2 linked regions of the Caenorhabditis elegans genome follow. The protein of the gene in region 1 interacts with the protein of each later gene in a pairwise test. Each region holds a gene or a part of one and is shown on either strand. Other genes may lie near its edges.

Evidence for each region.
Region 2: the proteins of Y48E1C.1 (region 1) and F35H10.5 interact in a two-hybrid assay, tested with the Caenorhabditis elegans proteins (one large-scale study listed by BioGRID).

Annotation. Positions count from the first base shown.
Region 1 is NC_003280.10:13,412,106-13,420,375, reverse strand, and holds the start of Y48E1C.1 (Centromere protein S), read right to left. Parts: upstream 5,351-8,270; 5' UTR 5,348-5,350; coding exon 5,290-5,347; intron 4,520-5,289; coding exon 4,467-4,519; intron 4,349-4,466; exon of another isoform or gene 1,363-4,348; coding exon 1,117-1,362; intron 49-1,116; coding exon 1-48. Other genes in the region: Y48C3A.18 (Threonylcarbamoyl-AMP synthase), read right to left, coding at 5,616-5,874, 6,296-6,421, 7,197-7,374, 7,640-7,727.
Region 2 is NC_003282.8:8,297,904-8,303,883, forward strand, and holds F35H10.5 (Centromere protein X), read left to right. Parts: upstream 1-2,864; 5' UTR 2,865-2,874; coding exon 2,875-3,003; intron 3,004-3,085; coding exon 3,086-3,196; 3' UTR 3,197-3,262; downstream 3,263-5,980. Other genes in the region: nprl-3 (GATOR complex protein NPRL3), read left to right, coding at 1-416, 742-857, 912-1,163, 1,285-1,729, 1,782-1,865; F35H10.6 (Spindle and kinetochore-associated protein 2), read left to right, coding at 2,038-2,096, 2,145-2,250, 2,293-2,360, 2,405-2,648.

The DNA.
Region 1 (8,270 bases):
AGTTTCCTGTGGGCAGTCAACGCCAGCAAGCTCACACGCTGCGCGGAGCTGGAAATAACCATTAAGTGTGGGCGTGGCTTGAAATTTCGATTTTTTTTCCCACTTTTTTGGAAAAAAATGAGCTTTGATTTTCATTTTTAAGTACAAAATTTGGGAATTTCTAGAAAAAAAAAATTTTTGAAAAAAAACGTTAATTCTGTCCATTGGTGGCTTCATTTTAAAAATTTTAGCGGGAAATTCAAATTTTTTAAGAAAAAACAATTTTTTTGGAGGGAAATTCAAATATTTTGATCAACCAATTTGGGCGGGAAATTCAAATTTTCCGAAAAAAAAACTTTTTTGCGGGAAATTCAAATTTTCTGAGAAAACACATATTCGGCGGGAAATTATTTTTTTTTTTGAGAAAAACAATTTTGGCGCAAAATTCAAATTTTCTGAGATCAAAAAAAAATATTTTGACGGAAAATTCAAATTTTCCGAGTAAAAAATCAAGCCCCGCCCATTTTTGGGGCGTGGCCTGCATTTTTTTAAGCAAAAAATTCCGTTTTTATTCAAATTGTTCAGAAAAAAATGCTTCAAAATATACAATTCTACATTTTTTGGAAAAAAATGAGCTTTGATTTTCATTTTTAGGTACAAAATTAGGAAATTTCCATAAATTTTTTTTTACGTTAATTCTGTCCATTTTGTGGGCGTGGTGGCTTCATTTTAAAAATTTAGAAGAGGGAAATTCAAATTTTTTGAGAAAAAAACAATTTTTGTCCATTATGTGGGCGGGACCTGAACAATTTTGACGGGTTTTTTTCAAATATTTTGATCAACCAATTTGGGCGGGAAATTCAAGTTTTCTGAAAAAAGTTTTTTGGTGGGGATTCAAATTTTCCAAAAAACCATTTTAGCGGGAATTTTTTTTTTTTTTGAGAAAAACAATTTGGCCGGCAAATTCGAATTTTTTGAGATCAAAAAAAAATATTTTGACGGAAAATTCAAATTTTCCGAGTAAAAAATCAAGCCCCGCCCATTTCTGGGGCGTGGCCTTATTTGTGCCTTTTTTTTAGTAAAAAAACTTTTTTTTGCAAAATTTTCAGAATTTTTTTTTTGCTCAACAAAACCCACCAAATCCGGATTCCTCCTCGTCAGCAGCGAAATATCGTCCATATTAACCCTCTGACGTCCGGCGTGAGCCACAAATCTCGCCAAATCGTCTGCCCAGTCTTGTGCAACCGTATCCCAGACGAGAGCTCCGACTTGACTGACCACGTCCTCTTCGACCACCATATCCAGACCGTTTCGCTCGCCGGCTCGCAGAGCAACCGAGTCGGCGGTTTTGAGCACACCGAGTTGTAGAGCACCTTTTAGTTCCTATTGGAAAAGGAGAAAAGGTGAAAATTTGGGGATAGCTTCCGCATCCCCGGTGGCAAATGCGCTCTATGGCCAATTGTTGGAGCAAAATCAATATTTAAAGGCTAGTAACCTTTGAATATCGATTTTCGCACGTGGTGTCAGAGTGTCTCATTTCGGCTTGATCTCCGTAGATCTACAAAAAATGCGCGGGAGCAGAGACGTAGAGAGTTTTCAACTGAATTCCCGCATTTTTTTTGTAGATCAAACCGTAATGGGACAGCCAGAAACCACGTCATTTTGAACCACCAATCAGAATAGCAACGCAGAAGCCACTACATATTCGGTAACTTGTGGCATGTTTCCCGGGAAAAATTGAAAATTTGGGCATAGCTTCCGCATTTCCGGTGGCAAATGCGCTCTATTGCCGATTGTTGGGGTAAAATCGATAAAAATCGATTTTTGCACCACCAATCAGCTATAGAAAGGCAGAAGCCATCGAATTCAAAAGAGATCAGCTAAATTAAACTTTATTCTGTATAAATGATTTTTTCGACATTGGTGAGATACATTTGTTTGTAGGTGAAATGGTGAAATGCTAGAAAATGCGATTTAAAAAATTATTGCGAGACAAGAAACTGTAAAAGAGAGAGATACGTCTAAAATCTGAAGCTCGAGGGGGGTGGGGAAGGAATCACAGCCAAGAAAGAAAAATCGATAGAAAAATCGAAAAATCGATAAAAGTGGTAGGATACCGGAAAACATACACAAACTAATTACACTTGTTTTGTTGTTATTTAAAAAAAAAACATTGAGATGAACTAAATCGTTGCGAGACCCAGGAACTCCGCAGCTACAGTAACCATGGTAGCTGCAAAGTTTCGGTCGTGTCGAGACCACATGCCGTGCGCCAAGGGTACAGTAACCACTTTTTGAAGGCGCAGGCACGTATCGAAAATGAAAGAGTCGTATGTGTTGATTTACGCGCCTCGTGTAGTCCCCGAGGAGAAGATTTCTCGAGAATTCTCGATTTTGGGCAATTTTCTGTTGTTTTTGTATTTAACCTTAAATCGGTTTTTATTCAATGCGTTTTAGGAGAAAATCCTTTTTTTTCAGAAAAAATTAAAAAATCTATAATTGGCGATTTTCAAAAAAAAAATCGATAATTGCCGATTTCCAAAAAATCGATAATTGCCGATTTCCAAAAAATCGATAATTGCCGATTTTCAAGAATATCGATAATTGCCGATTTTCAAAAAAAAATCGATAATTGCCGATTTTCAAGAATATCGATAATTGGCGATTTTCAAAAAAATCGATAATTGGCGATTTTCAAAAAAATCGATAATTGCCGATTTTCAAAAAATCGATTATTGCCGATTTTCAAAAAAAAATCGATAATTGCCGATTTTCAAAAAGATCGATAATTGCCGATTTTCAAAAAAATCGATAATTGCCGATTTTCAAAAAAAATCGATAATTGCCGATTTTCAAAAAAAAATCGATAGTTGCCGATTTTCAAAAAGATCGATAATTGCTGATTTTCAAAAAAATCGATAATTGCCGATTTTCAAAAAAAATCGATAATGGCCGATTTTCAAAAAAATCGATAATTGGCGATTTTCAACAAAAATTGGTAATTTATATTGTTTTATGAGAAAAATAATTTTTTGTCAGAAAAAAAAACATAGATTTTCACACAAAACACTATGAATAGGTGTGGTGTTTTGTCAGAGTGTCTCTCATTTCGGCTTGATCTACGTAGATCTACAAAAAATGCGGGAGAAGATCTTCTCTCGAGACGCAGAGTTCTCAATTGATGGTTAAGAACGTGCTGACGTCACATTTTTTGGGCTAAAAAAATCCCGAATTTTTTGTAGATCAAACCGTAAGGGGACAGGCGCGGCGCCACCACGTGTAGACGCGATTTGAATGCAAAATACACCACGAAATTGAGGAGGAGTACACGAGCCGCGTAAATCTAACGCAACGAGTTTTTTTTTTTTTTAATTTAAGAAATTAAATTTTCTCAAATTTTCTGCAGAATCACAAGAATCGGAAATTTCTCGTCCTTCTCCTCTCCGTCCATCCAAATTCGTCCGATTTTCTGCTCCAACGCCAAATTGAGATCCGGCTCGATGCAAACCGTGAACTCGTCACTCCACACAGTGCCAACATAGTCCAAAAACTTTTGCAAACTTTGCTTCCGGCGGGGGCTCGACAAAATCGCTCGGCCACTGGGCCGAAGGTGCGAGTGAATGCATTTCATGAGAGATTCGTGGTGCTCCGAGAAGAATACACAGTCCGCCGCGAGAATCGTGTCAAAGGTGTGCTGCTGCTGGAGCTCTTGTGCGCCCCAAATCAACTGCCGCACGTGGCAGCAGCGATCCAACGACGAGTTTGAATTTCGAATCTTTTCCAGAGAACGCACGGATTCCATGTTACCATCTGTAACCCAGACACTCGAATCGGGAACCTTGCATGCAATCAGAATGCTTGAAAGTCCCAAGAAGCCAGCGCCAAGCTCTAGGATTCTCCTGTGGCCACCACCATCACCGTCGCCAAGGCTGGGACCAAGGATCTTGTTGGGATCCCGTAGGATGGTCCAGGCGAGTGCCTCACTTCCAGGCCAGATCCTCACATTTCCAGTGTTGTCAAATCCCGACGCAAGGGTGTCCAAGGAGACTGCAGGGGTTGGTGGGAAGAATTTGAAGATTCGAAGAAACGAATCGTCATCGGAATCCGAGGAAGATGAATCAAAGGAAGACGGAGGAGAAGCAGCTCGTTCACAAATCCACATGCAATCACCAACACGTTTCACGTCAAACAATATCAGAGAATCAGTAGTGGATGAGGGACCGCCGCCGCCGACTCGGCTCAACGTTTCCCGTAGCCGCTCCGAGAAGACTGACCAATTGCGCCGGGCACGTGTTGATGACGTGGATGAGGGGGCCGATGACGTGGCAGATGATGTGCAAGTGGAGCCCCGGCTCAATTTGAGATGGATCTATATTATGTACATCTTAGGGGGATTGTTCTGTGTTAGGGGAGGGGGGGGGGGGGGTCTAGTACTACTTTTTTTTCTAATTTTTTAAATGGAAAATTTCAAATTTCAAAAAACGAACCTTTTCATCTATGAAATCACCCTCTTCCCACGCGTTCTTCTCGTCGTCTGCGTCTGGAATTTTTTTTTGTTGGGAATTTTCGAAAACTTTGGTGGAAATTTTGAATTTTGAAAAAATCTGGCGCAAAAATGAAATTTTAATTTACGGGAATTCAAAATTTTGAAAAAAAAAACACATTTTTTGGTGAGAAATTTAAATTTTCAACAAAAAAATTTGGCGGGAGTTAAAATTTTGAACTTTTTTTGAATTTCGAAATTCAAATTTTTTGAGTACTGTAGGGGTACTGTAGGAGTACTGTAGGGGTACTGTAGGGGTACTGTAGGGGTACTGTAGGGGTACTGTGGGAGTACTGTAGGGGGAGTGTAGGGGTACTGTAGGGGTGCTGTGTTAGTACTGTACTGGTCTATAAGAGAACTGTAGGGATACTGTAGGGGTACTGTATGGGTACTGTAGAAGTACAGTAGGGGTACGGTAGGAGTACTGTAGGAGTACTATAGGGGTACTATAGGGACACTGTAGGTGTACTGTAGCAGTACTGAAGGGGTACTGTAGGGGTACTGTACAGCTCCTAAATTTTTGGCGGGAAATTTAAATACTTTGAAAACATTTTTGGGGGGAAATCCAATTTTTTTCAAAATTTCTGGCGCACGATTAAAATTGAATTTTTCAAACAAATGTTGTTGAGGATAATTTGAATTTTTTATTTCCAAATTTTTGGCGCGAAATTCGAAATTTGGGGGGAAATTAATGTTTTGGAAAAAAAAAGTTTTGGACCTACTGTAACTACTACCCGTAAAATCGCTACGAGACCCCCAAAAATTACCTTTTTTCTTGCCGCCACGCGGTTGTGGTCCTCCCTTGCCCTCCACAGGGTCTCCCATTATCTGTAAAATTTGTTTTTTTTTCTGAAAATTAGAATTTTCAAATAAAATTGTTTGGAAATCGATATAAAAAGTGTTGAGAAACACTGGGGAAATGGCAAAAAATAATAAAAAAAGATTTTCCAAAAAATATGAATTATTAACAAAAAATCAACAAAATCAGTGTACAAAACAAGAAAAAATCATAGAAAAATGTGGAAAATACAGAATTTGTGACGTCGGGTGGCCTAGAAACTTGAAAAACTCTTCCAACTTCACAACCCCAAGATCACTGAATTTTCGTCAATCCGAATGATTTAAGCTTCTGCATCGTCTCCTTCTCAGCACATCCACTTCGAACAATCCGGAATCCTGATTCAACAGTCAAATCGACAATCGTTGATCCTTCACCACTGGAGATGATTGATCCGGCGTCGAGGATCAGATCGATATTCGGATGAAGATCTCGGAAATGATCGATTGATGTCGGGTTGAGTGAGGATCCACTGACGTTGGCCGATGTTTGAGCGAGCGGTTGGCCGAGTTTTCTGGAAAAAATGGGACCGGATTGGAAAATTGATAATTACTGGTTTCTGAAAAAAAAATTGAAAAATCGATAATTGCCGATTTCAAAAAAATCGATAATTGGCGATTTTCAAAAAAATCGATTATTTGCCGATTTTCAAAAAATGGATAATTACCGATTTCCAAAAAATCGATAATTGACGATTTTCCAAAAAATCGATAATTGCCGATTTCAAAAAAATCGATAATTGGCGATTTTCAAAAAAATCGATAATTGCCGATTTTCAAAAAAATCGATAATTGCCGATTTCCAAAAAATCGATAATTGGCGATTTTCAAAAAAAAATCGATAATTGCCGATTTTTCGAATTTCAAAAAATTTAGAAAAATCGATAATTATTGATTTTTCGATTTCCAAAACAACGTTATTTTTCCATTATTTACTTGCATATCGTCGAAACAATTGGGCAGTCTGGAACCCGACAGGCTACGTTAACAACTCCCGGATTAAATTCCGCCGGTAGGCATGGAAGGCGTTCGAACATTAATGTAACTGGACCGGGGAGGAGGCTGAAAATTTGTCGATACACCATATCTTACGCTCAAATTTAAATTTTTCATAAAATTTGCGCGTCAAATCTGGTGTTTTCAAGTACGCAAGCTCAAACTTCTCTCAACTTTGCGCGTAAAATCTGGTGCATTGATGGGCGGAGCCGATACACTTGATCTGACGAGCAAATTTTAATTTTTTCGATGAAAAACTGCGCGTCAGATCTGGTGCATTGGGGGCGGAGTCCATACACCATATTTTACGAGCAAATTTCCACAATTTGCGCGTCAAATCTGGTGTATTGACTCCGCAAGCTCAAATTTCTCTCAAATTTGCGCGTGAAATCTGTTGCATTGAGGGCCGAGCCAATACACCATATTTTACGAGCAGATTTTCAAAGTTTGCGCGTCAAATCTGGTGCATTGGGGACGAAGCCAATACACCATATTTTACGCGCAAATTTTAATTTTTGAAAAAATTCGCGCGTCAAATCTAGTGTTTTCGAGTCCGCAAGCTCAGTTTTTCTAAATTATGCGCGTGAAATCTGGTGCATTGGGAGGGGGCGGAGTCGATACACTTGATCTGACGAGCAAATTTTAATTTTTGAAAAAATTCGCGCGTCAAATCTAGTGTTTTCGAGTCCGCAAGCTCAGTTTTTCTAAATTATGCGCGTGAAATCTGGTGCATTGGGGGCGGAGCCAATACACCATATTTTACGAGCAAATTTCCAAAAAATTGCGCGTCAAATCTGGTGTTTTCAAGAGCTCCGCTGAGCTCCAAATTTTCTATACGAACCAATTCGCTAGCTCATCGGAAATCGTCTGCCTTGAGACGAGCTTCATCGCCGTCGGGCTCGGCAGAAAAATGCCGAGCGGCTTCTCGTACGGCCGTTGTTTCAACGCGTAGAGCCTGTCAGAGTACTGTAGTAGGGTGGAGATTCCGTAGAGAGTGTCGGTTGGTAGGGCGACGATTCCTGGAGAGGAGAATTGGTCGAAGGGGTACTAGGGCTTCCAGGCAGGCAGTGAAATGCCTGCCTGTCTCCCGCCTGCCTGCCTATCGCCTCAATTGGCGGCGCCTTATTACTAGAATTGAGAAAATTCGAAAATTGTAAATTCTTAAAAATGAAAAAAAGAGCGAAATGTCGGGGTGAGGCAGGCAGGCATCAGGCAGGCGGCGCCTGCCTACCATGAAAGCCCTAGGGAGTACGGTAGGGGTACTGTAGGAGGCGGGGTGCTAACCTCCTCTCAGAAATACGCAAACCGCCGCGTCAATTGCCTCCTCAATGTTGTCGGCGGTGAGCCGTAGAATTCGGCCGCCGGCTGTCATTTTTTTTTGGAATGCTGAAAATTTGTACTCCTCTCGGAAAATCCTAATTTTCGAAAATTTGAATTTTTGCATAATTTTTTGGCTTTAATTTTCGTGTAGTCCTCTCGGACAACTTGAATTTTCAAAATTAGGAATTCGAATATTTTCGAAATGAATTGTACTCCTCTCGGAAAATCGAAATTAGATTTTTTTAAAATTTTTTCGAAATGAATTGTACTCCTTTCGGACGATCGAAATCAGGTTTTTTTTTTCAATTTTCTCGAAACAAATTGTAGTCCACTCGGAAAATCGAAAATTGAATTTTCAAAATTCGGAATTCGAATTTTTTCGAAATGAATTGTACTCCTCTCGGAAAATCGAAAGTAGATTTTTTTTAAAATTTTTTCGAAATGAATTGTACTCCTCTCGGACAACCTGAATTTTCAAAATTTTGTGTAGTCCTCTCGGACAACCTGAATTTTCAAAATTTTGTTTTCGTCTTTTTCAAAAAAAAATTGTACTCCTTTCGGACGATCCGAATTTTAAGAAATTTTGGTTTGAAAA
Region 2 (5,980 bases), on another chromosome or scaffold:
TGGATACAGAATTCGACATGTCTCTCGGAATGCTTGCTTATGTGTTCAAAACTCAAGAAATTGCGTGTAACGATGGGTTCGATATGAAGATCAATAATCAAAGATTCGTTGCATATCCGAAGACATGGAAAGCACGTGGTGAATCCACCAACTATCAGATTTCGATTGTTTTTGCACTTAAAAACGGATGTGAACAGCACACAGCGTCCGCATATCAAACACTTTCGAATAAGATTGCAGTCAGTTTGGTCATGCTCCAAAACTATTTTGGATTTCTGGAACGAGAGGACAAGTGGGCAGATAATGCTGAAGAACCTAATAAAGATCATCCTCTGGAAGAGTTCGCAAAGACTAGTTTCATAGTTCAACCATTGGCTGAAATGTTTGAAGAAGTGCGAAATCGAGGAAATATTCATGTAAGATTCAAATTCTTTTAAATTCAGATTTGTTTCCACTAAAGGTTCTATCAGATTTTGATTACAATATTTATTGTAATTTCGCGATATTTTTGACATGTCATTTCAAAGGAACACGCATTTTTCCCATGGTGGTCTTGTCACGATATCAGGGTGCCAGACTTTACAGATTTGTTCATTTGATGTAGAAAAAAAACTTTTGAAATTTTAAATTCTAACCTGTTCAGAAAAACAGAATTTATCATGTACCATTTAAGCACCTAGTAGTATCACTTTACGCGAATGGATGATAAAATTCAATCTAGACTTAAAAAAACATTTCCAGAAATATCTCATAAATTTTGTGGAACTTGGATTTTGTGATGAAGCACATGCCTTGACGAAGTTAAATGTAGTGCCGAAAGGAAGGCAGGAAATCGATGAAATCGTCAGAAAAATGAAGTGAGTTTTTCCTATAATAACCCATTTTTTGGAACTACAAAAACTATTTTTCAGACCTTATCACGGAATTTTGCTTCTCGAAGATGTGTGGCCAACTCCAGATGCAAATCCGATTGTTGCTAAACTTCTCAGTCATTGTAGTCCGGATCGTTCAATTTTGGATATGTCAACGGCGTCTGGAATCCCGATTTTTGAAGTTTTCATGATCATTCGACACTTACTGCAATGGACACGTGCTATTCTCATTTATCCTTTATGTAATACAAACATCTATACATCTGCAACAAGTCCACAACCTCTTGATAAGTGAGCAATTTTTTTGTTTTTTAAACTATATTTTATAAATTCAAAACAAAATCACTATTTTCATAGAACATTTTGATTAGTCAAGGATTTTATTGTTACATTGAAATTCAACAAGTTACAGAATGGCAGAGAAGTTCACAGCTCAATTCGGCAATACCATTCACTTGGCTGCCGGGCTGGCTCATTTCAATCCCCCAAAAACACTGGATACGTTTATCCGAAAAAACCTTCCTCTACACGAACAGGGAGTTCGTGCGAAGCTTGTCGTTGCTTTGCTTCGTCATCAAATGCTCATGCAGTTGCATCAATTTTACTATATTCTGAAACCGTACTCGATCGCGATCCTACCAGAACCAAAAGAGCCATGTCCCGCTGAGTTTACGAAAATCATCGAGGAAAGCACATTACCAAATGACGTGAAGGGAGTTGTAGCGGATATTTGTGCTGAAATGCTCGAAACTACATCTTATGCCAGTGTCAAACGAACGTTGAGCCTTTTCGTAAAAGTTGCTCCGATGATGGATGGAAATCATCATTTGGAAGAAATCAAATACAAAAATAATTTGGTAAGAAATTGAATAGGGTAAATTCTGCTAATACTGATTAAGTATTTTCCAGGATCGTACAGAAATCGAGGGAGTTTTCGTGTCTTTCAAGCTTGTAATTGCTACATTCCGCCGTCCTGATTTTGTTGCCGAGTAGCCAAGGATCTTTTATTCCGGTTTTTATATTTTTCTCATTTATGTACAAAAAATGAAGCATGATTTTACCCCCTATATTAAATTTGTTTTTTTTTCTGAAAGAGGTTATTGCATAAAACCTACTATTTTTATAAATTTTTGAATACCTTCTCCAAAAAATGTATTCAGCTCAAATGGAAAACTATGTCTCTGCACAGGAAAGATACATGAAGTATTTGGAAGATTTGTCAGAGTGAGTACATCAATCGAATCGGAATAAATAATTGACAATTATTTACAGAAATGTTATTCATCCTAAAATTGCAACTGAGGAGAAGGAATTCAAAAAGTTGCAAAAACAGTGCGAGGAGTATGCAAAACTCAAGTTCACATGTCAACGGCTTCTGGTAAAGAGTTCAAAGTTAGACCTAAATCATCTTTTTTTCTAGAATGAGGCTCCAAAAACAACAGAAGGAAAGACCGAACTGGGACAGAGAGTTTTTATGAATATTGAAGTGTAAGATACTTATTATAACTACTACTTTTATTTTTGAATTTAAGGAGAGACACGAAGCATGTGGTTGTTAAGCTGTGTGACGATGTTTATGTGGAGATGAAGCTTCAAGACGCTATCAAAACATGTGATCGGAAGATGGACAGCTTAAAAAATATGATGGAAAAACTGCAAAAGTCAACCAATAAACTGAAAACCGACTTGACAATGCTTCTTGCCACGATGGATATGCCATATGTGGAACCATTCAGATTCACACTTCCTTCAGACTTCCCGTTTCGAATGGAATAATATTTGAATTTGTTCAATTTGTTTTTTTTTCCTATTTTTCCCAGGTCTCATCCACATTTCCCTACGATTTCTTTAAATAAATAACTTGTTTGTTTCAAATAACGGGATAGAAGATTTTTATTTGAATACAGTAATCCAGTTATAAATTCTCGTTATTATCTACTTCCTGAAATTTCAGACTTCTCGCGTATATCTGTGTAATTAGTAAGATTTCAGAATTTCAATCATGGTAATGCACATCAAACAGTCTACAGTAAGATCGATGTTGATTGTGGCTCGGCGAGGCAAGAAACGGTTGAACTTGGATCCGGATGCACTAGCTGTTCTCACAGCTCTTATCAATTTGCTTGCACAGGTGATTAATATGATTTTTTGAATTTTTACTCTTATTTAAAAAAATTTATTTTACAATTTTTTAAAATAACTTAAAATTTCAGGAGTCGGTAGCTCGAGCCGCACAGTCCGCTGCCAACACTGGAAGCCGCCACGTCACAAAAGAACACTTGAAACGAGTCATCGCTCAGCTAATGCTCGATTTTGCAATCTAAAAAAATCATCTCTTTAACTACCGATCTTCTTGTTTTCTTTATAATTCTGTATAAAACTAACTTATGAAATGTGTTCCACACAAATTGTTTAACCACTTGCGAGTTTGCGAAAAACATGAGTCACAGAAGCCGCCTGATCAGTTCCATTTGATTTTCGTGTCACACAATCATTTCAATCGGAGTTTTAGAATTCAGAGTATCGAATGTTTGTTTTTTCAAAGAAAGAGAATCGGCAAAAAATAGTTGAAGTGGAAGAGCATCGAGACTGACCAATACTGTGGTCATTGTTTGCACACATATTGAGCTCCAACCGGAAAGCAACAGAACAGAGACTTAGTGCAAGTTTGAAAGTCTAAGGTTTTCAAAGTTGAACCTACCCAATTAATTGATACAATCAAAATTTGAAAATTACGATTGTTGTTTCTAAATTCAACTTGCACAACTGAAGTTAACTAAGATCTAATTCCAGGATAAAGTATAGAAAAAAGGTCAGAATCTAAAGTTGTCAGTTTGAAATATGTTTGCTCGGCATTCGGCGACAATTTCTTTTGCCCATAAATATAACTTTCTTCGGAAGTTGGGTAACTTTGGCAAAAGTTGAATTTGTTTAGGCCGCGCCGAAGTTCCGACCGAGTTCAATCCAACATTTCCCCATGTCTTTCCAAAAGCGACACAAGATAAGTTTTGTTCAAAGATTGGCCTTGGTTGAATCAAAGTTTTGTTAAAGCAAAACTTGACAAGAATTTCCACTATTTAATATAAGTTTAATAAGTTAAGTTAAGTTAAGCATAAGCTATGTATAAGTTTAATTTGAAATAGATGCCATCCTGCAATTTGGCATTTTTAGTGGTGACGGCGTCAATCAGTCACACTCGTTGGTTTTTTACTCTTTGATTCAGAAGATACAGTACAGTGGTCGAAGGCGAGAAAAACTGTAGAGAAGAGAGAAATTGAGATAGAATTGAAGTCTAGCATGCGCAGTTTGTATTGTCATCGAGAGACTATTGAAGTTGACGAGACTCTGATCGGGAAGGGGGAGGCTTCGCGCCCCGCGGCCGAAAACCAGTGATTGATCTTCTTTTTGACGATGATCGGAGTAAGGAGTGGAAAAGTCTAAACGGCATTCGGAGGGGATGCTCCTTCTTCCGCTCTTACTCCTCTCTCGTCATTCTATGAGCATAGTGGCGGCGGCTTGTTCCCGTCCGCCGGAAAAAAGAACAGTGATAACGATTGCACTGTACTCTAGATCTTAAGACCATAGGTATTAAGTCTCAAGTTAGTCTAATATCTCACTCTAAGCCTCTGATACGGTGTTATTCTAACTTATAGTATCTGTTCTATTTTAAAGTTTATTTTTCCATTGATAAAGAAGAAGTTTGGTAAGGACTTGGCGTTATTTTGAAAGTATTTTCCATCTTCAAACATTTGTTATCATTTAAAATTATCCTAAAATAAACATCCGTTATGCGTCACCATCTTTTAATTTAAGACGATGCACTTCCATATTTTAGAGGTAGAAATACCCAAATAAAGTAGATATATGTACATTCAATTTTTGGCTTTTTTTTAAGCAGATTAGCCTTTAACACCTAGGGGTCAGTACGATTGCAATTATAGCTATATTCGATATCAAAAATTTTACTTGTCACTCGTTTACCAATTCTACTACCTCTCATCGTCCCGCTTAACTTTTCAACAAAAAACCAGTTTCCGATAGGAATCTATTGTGCCTTGAAACCTTGGTCACCCTTGACTCAACATCTTCTTTTCTTTCAACCTGCTTTTCATTTTCAATATGTCAATATTCAATTGATAACAAAATTGATATCCCCCTGCCTTCTTGTCAATATCACTTTCACTTTTGAAACCTGAATTTTGAATTCATAATTTGAAATTTCTCCGAATTCACCGTGCGCAGTGTGTCATAAAACCGATTACGACAACAATTTCCGTCACAAATCGGTCTGGTTCCATAACTATAACAATTGAGGCATTCGATTATTCACTATTTTGCCTTTTTTGTGTTGTTTTTTCCTCTCGAAACATACCCATAAAAAGTAGCTTTTTGATAACTTATTTTCCTGATTAGTTTTCAAATTGGTTTTTTGACAGTAGATCTTAGACCTCCAGCAACAGAAGCATTTCATGAAAGTTTGGATTAGTTCAAATTGACGATCCGATTAATTATAGCTATGAAGACTACCTAGACTTACTTTACAGCAAAGAAAGTTATCAGACTTAAAATATATTTGTGGTTAAGTATGTCCAGGTACTTTTTAAAGTTGTATTGTCTTTAGGCAGGCGTATAGGCATTTTGTACCTGCATGGAAGGTCTATCTACACCATATGAAAACATATTTATTGGGTTAAACTATCTAATTTAAATAGATGATTTAATTTTAATTCTTCACCAATATGGTTTTATATGTTTTTCGGAAACGTTGGACTCCCTTCCCTGAAAATAAAACAAAAGTTTACCTCTTGAAAGAATAAGAAAACTCCAATATTCTCGAAAACACAATGCAACAATTCACCGTTTTATTCTTTCCTTACTTCGCAAGTTCCTTTGAAAATATTTCCAATATGAATTGAGAACTGTGAGAATTTCAATCATTTTTTGAAAATTCCCCTGCCATTTTGTTTGCCATCTTTTCTTTTTTGTTCGCATTTTGATCATATCAGGGCTATCTCAAAAGTTCAATTCAAAATCAAATTTCTTTGAAGTCAACAGTAAATCAAATAACATTTTCATCTCTCTCCTTTGTTGCTCACATACCCGATGAG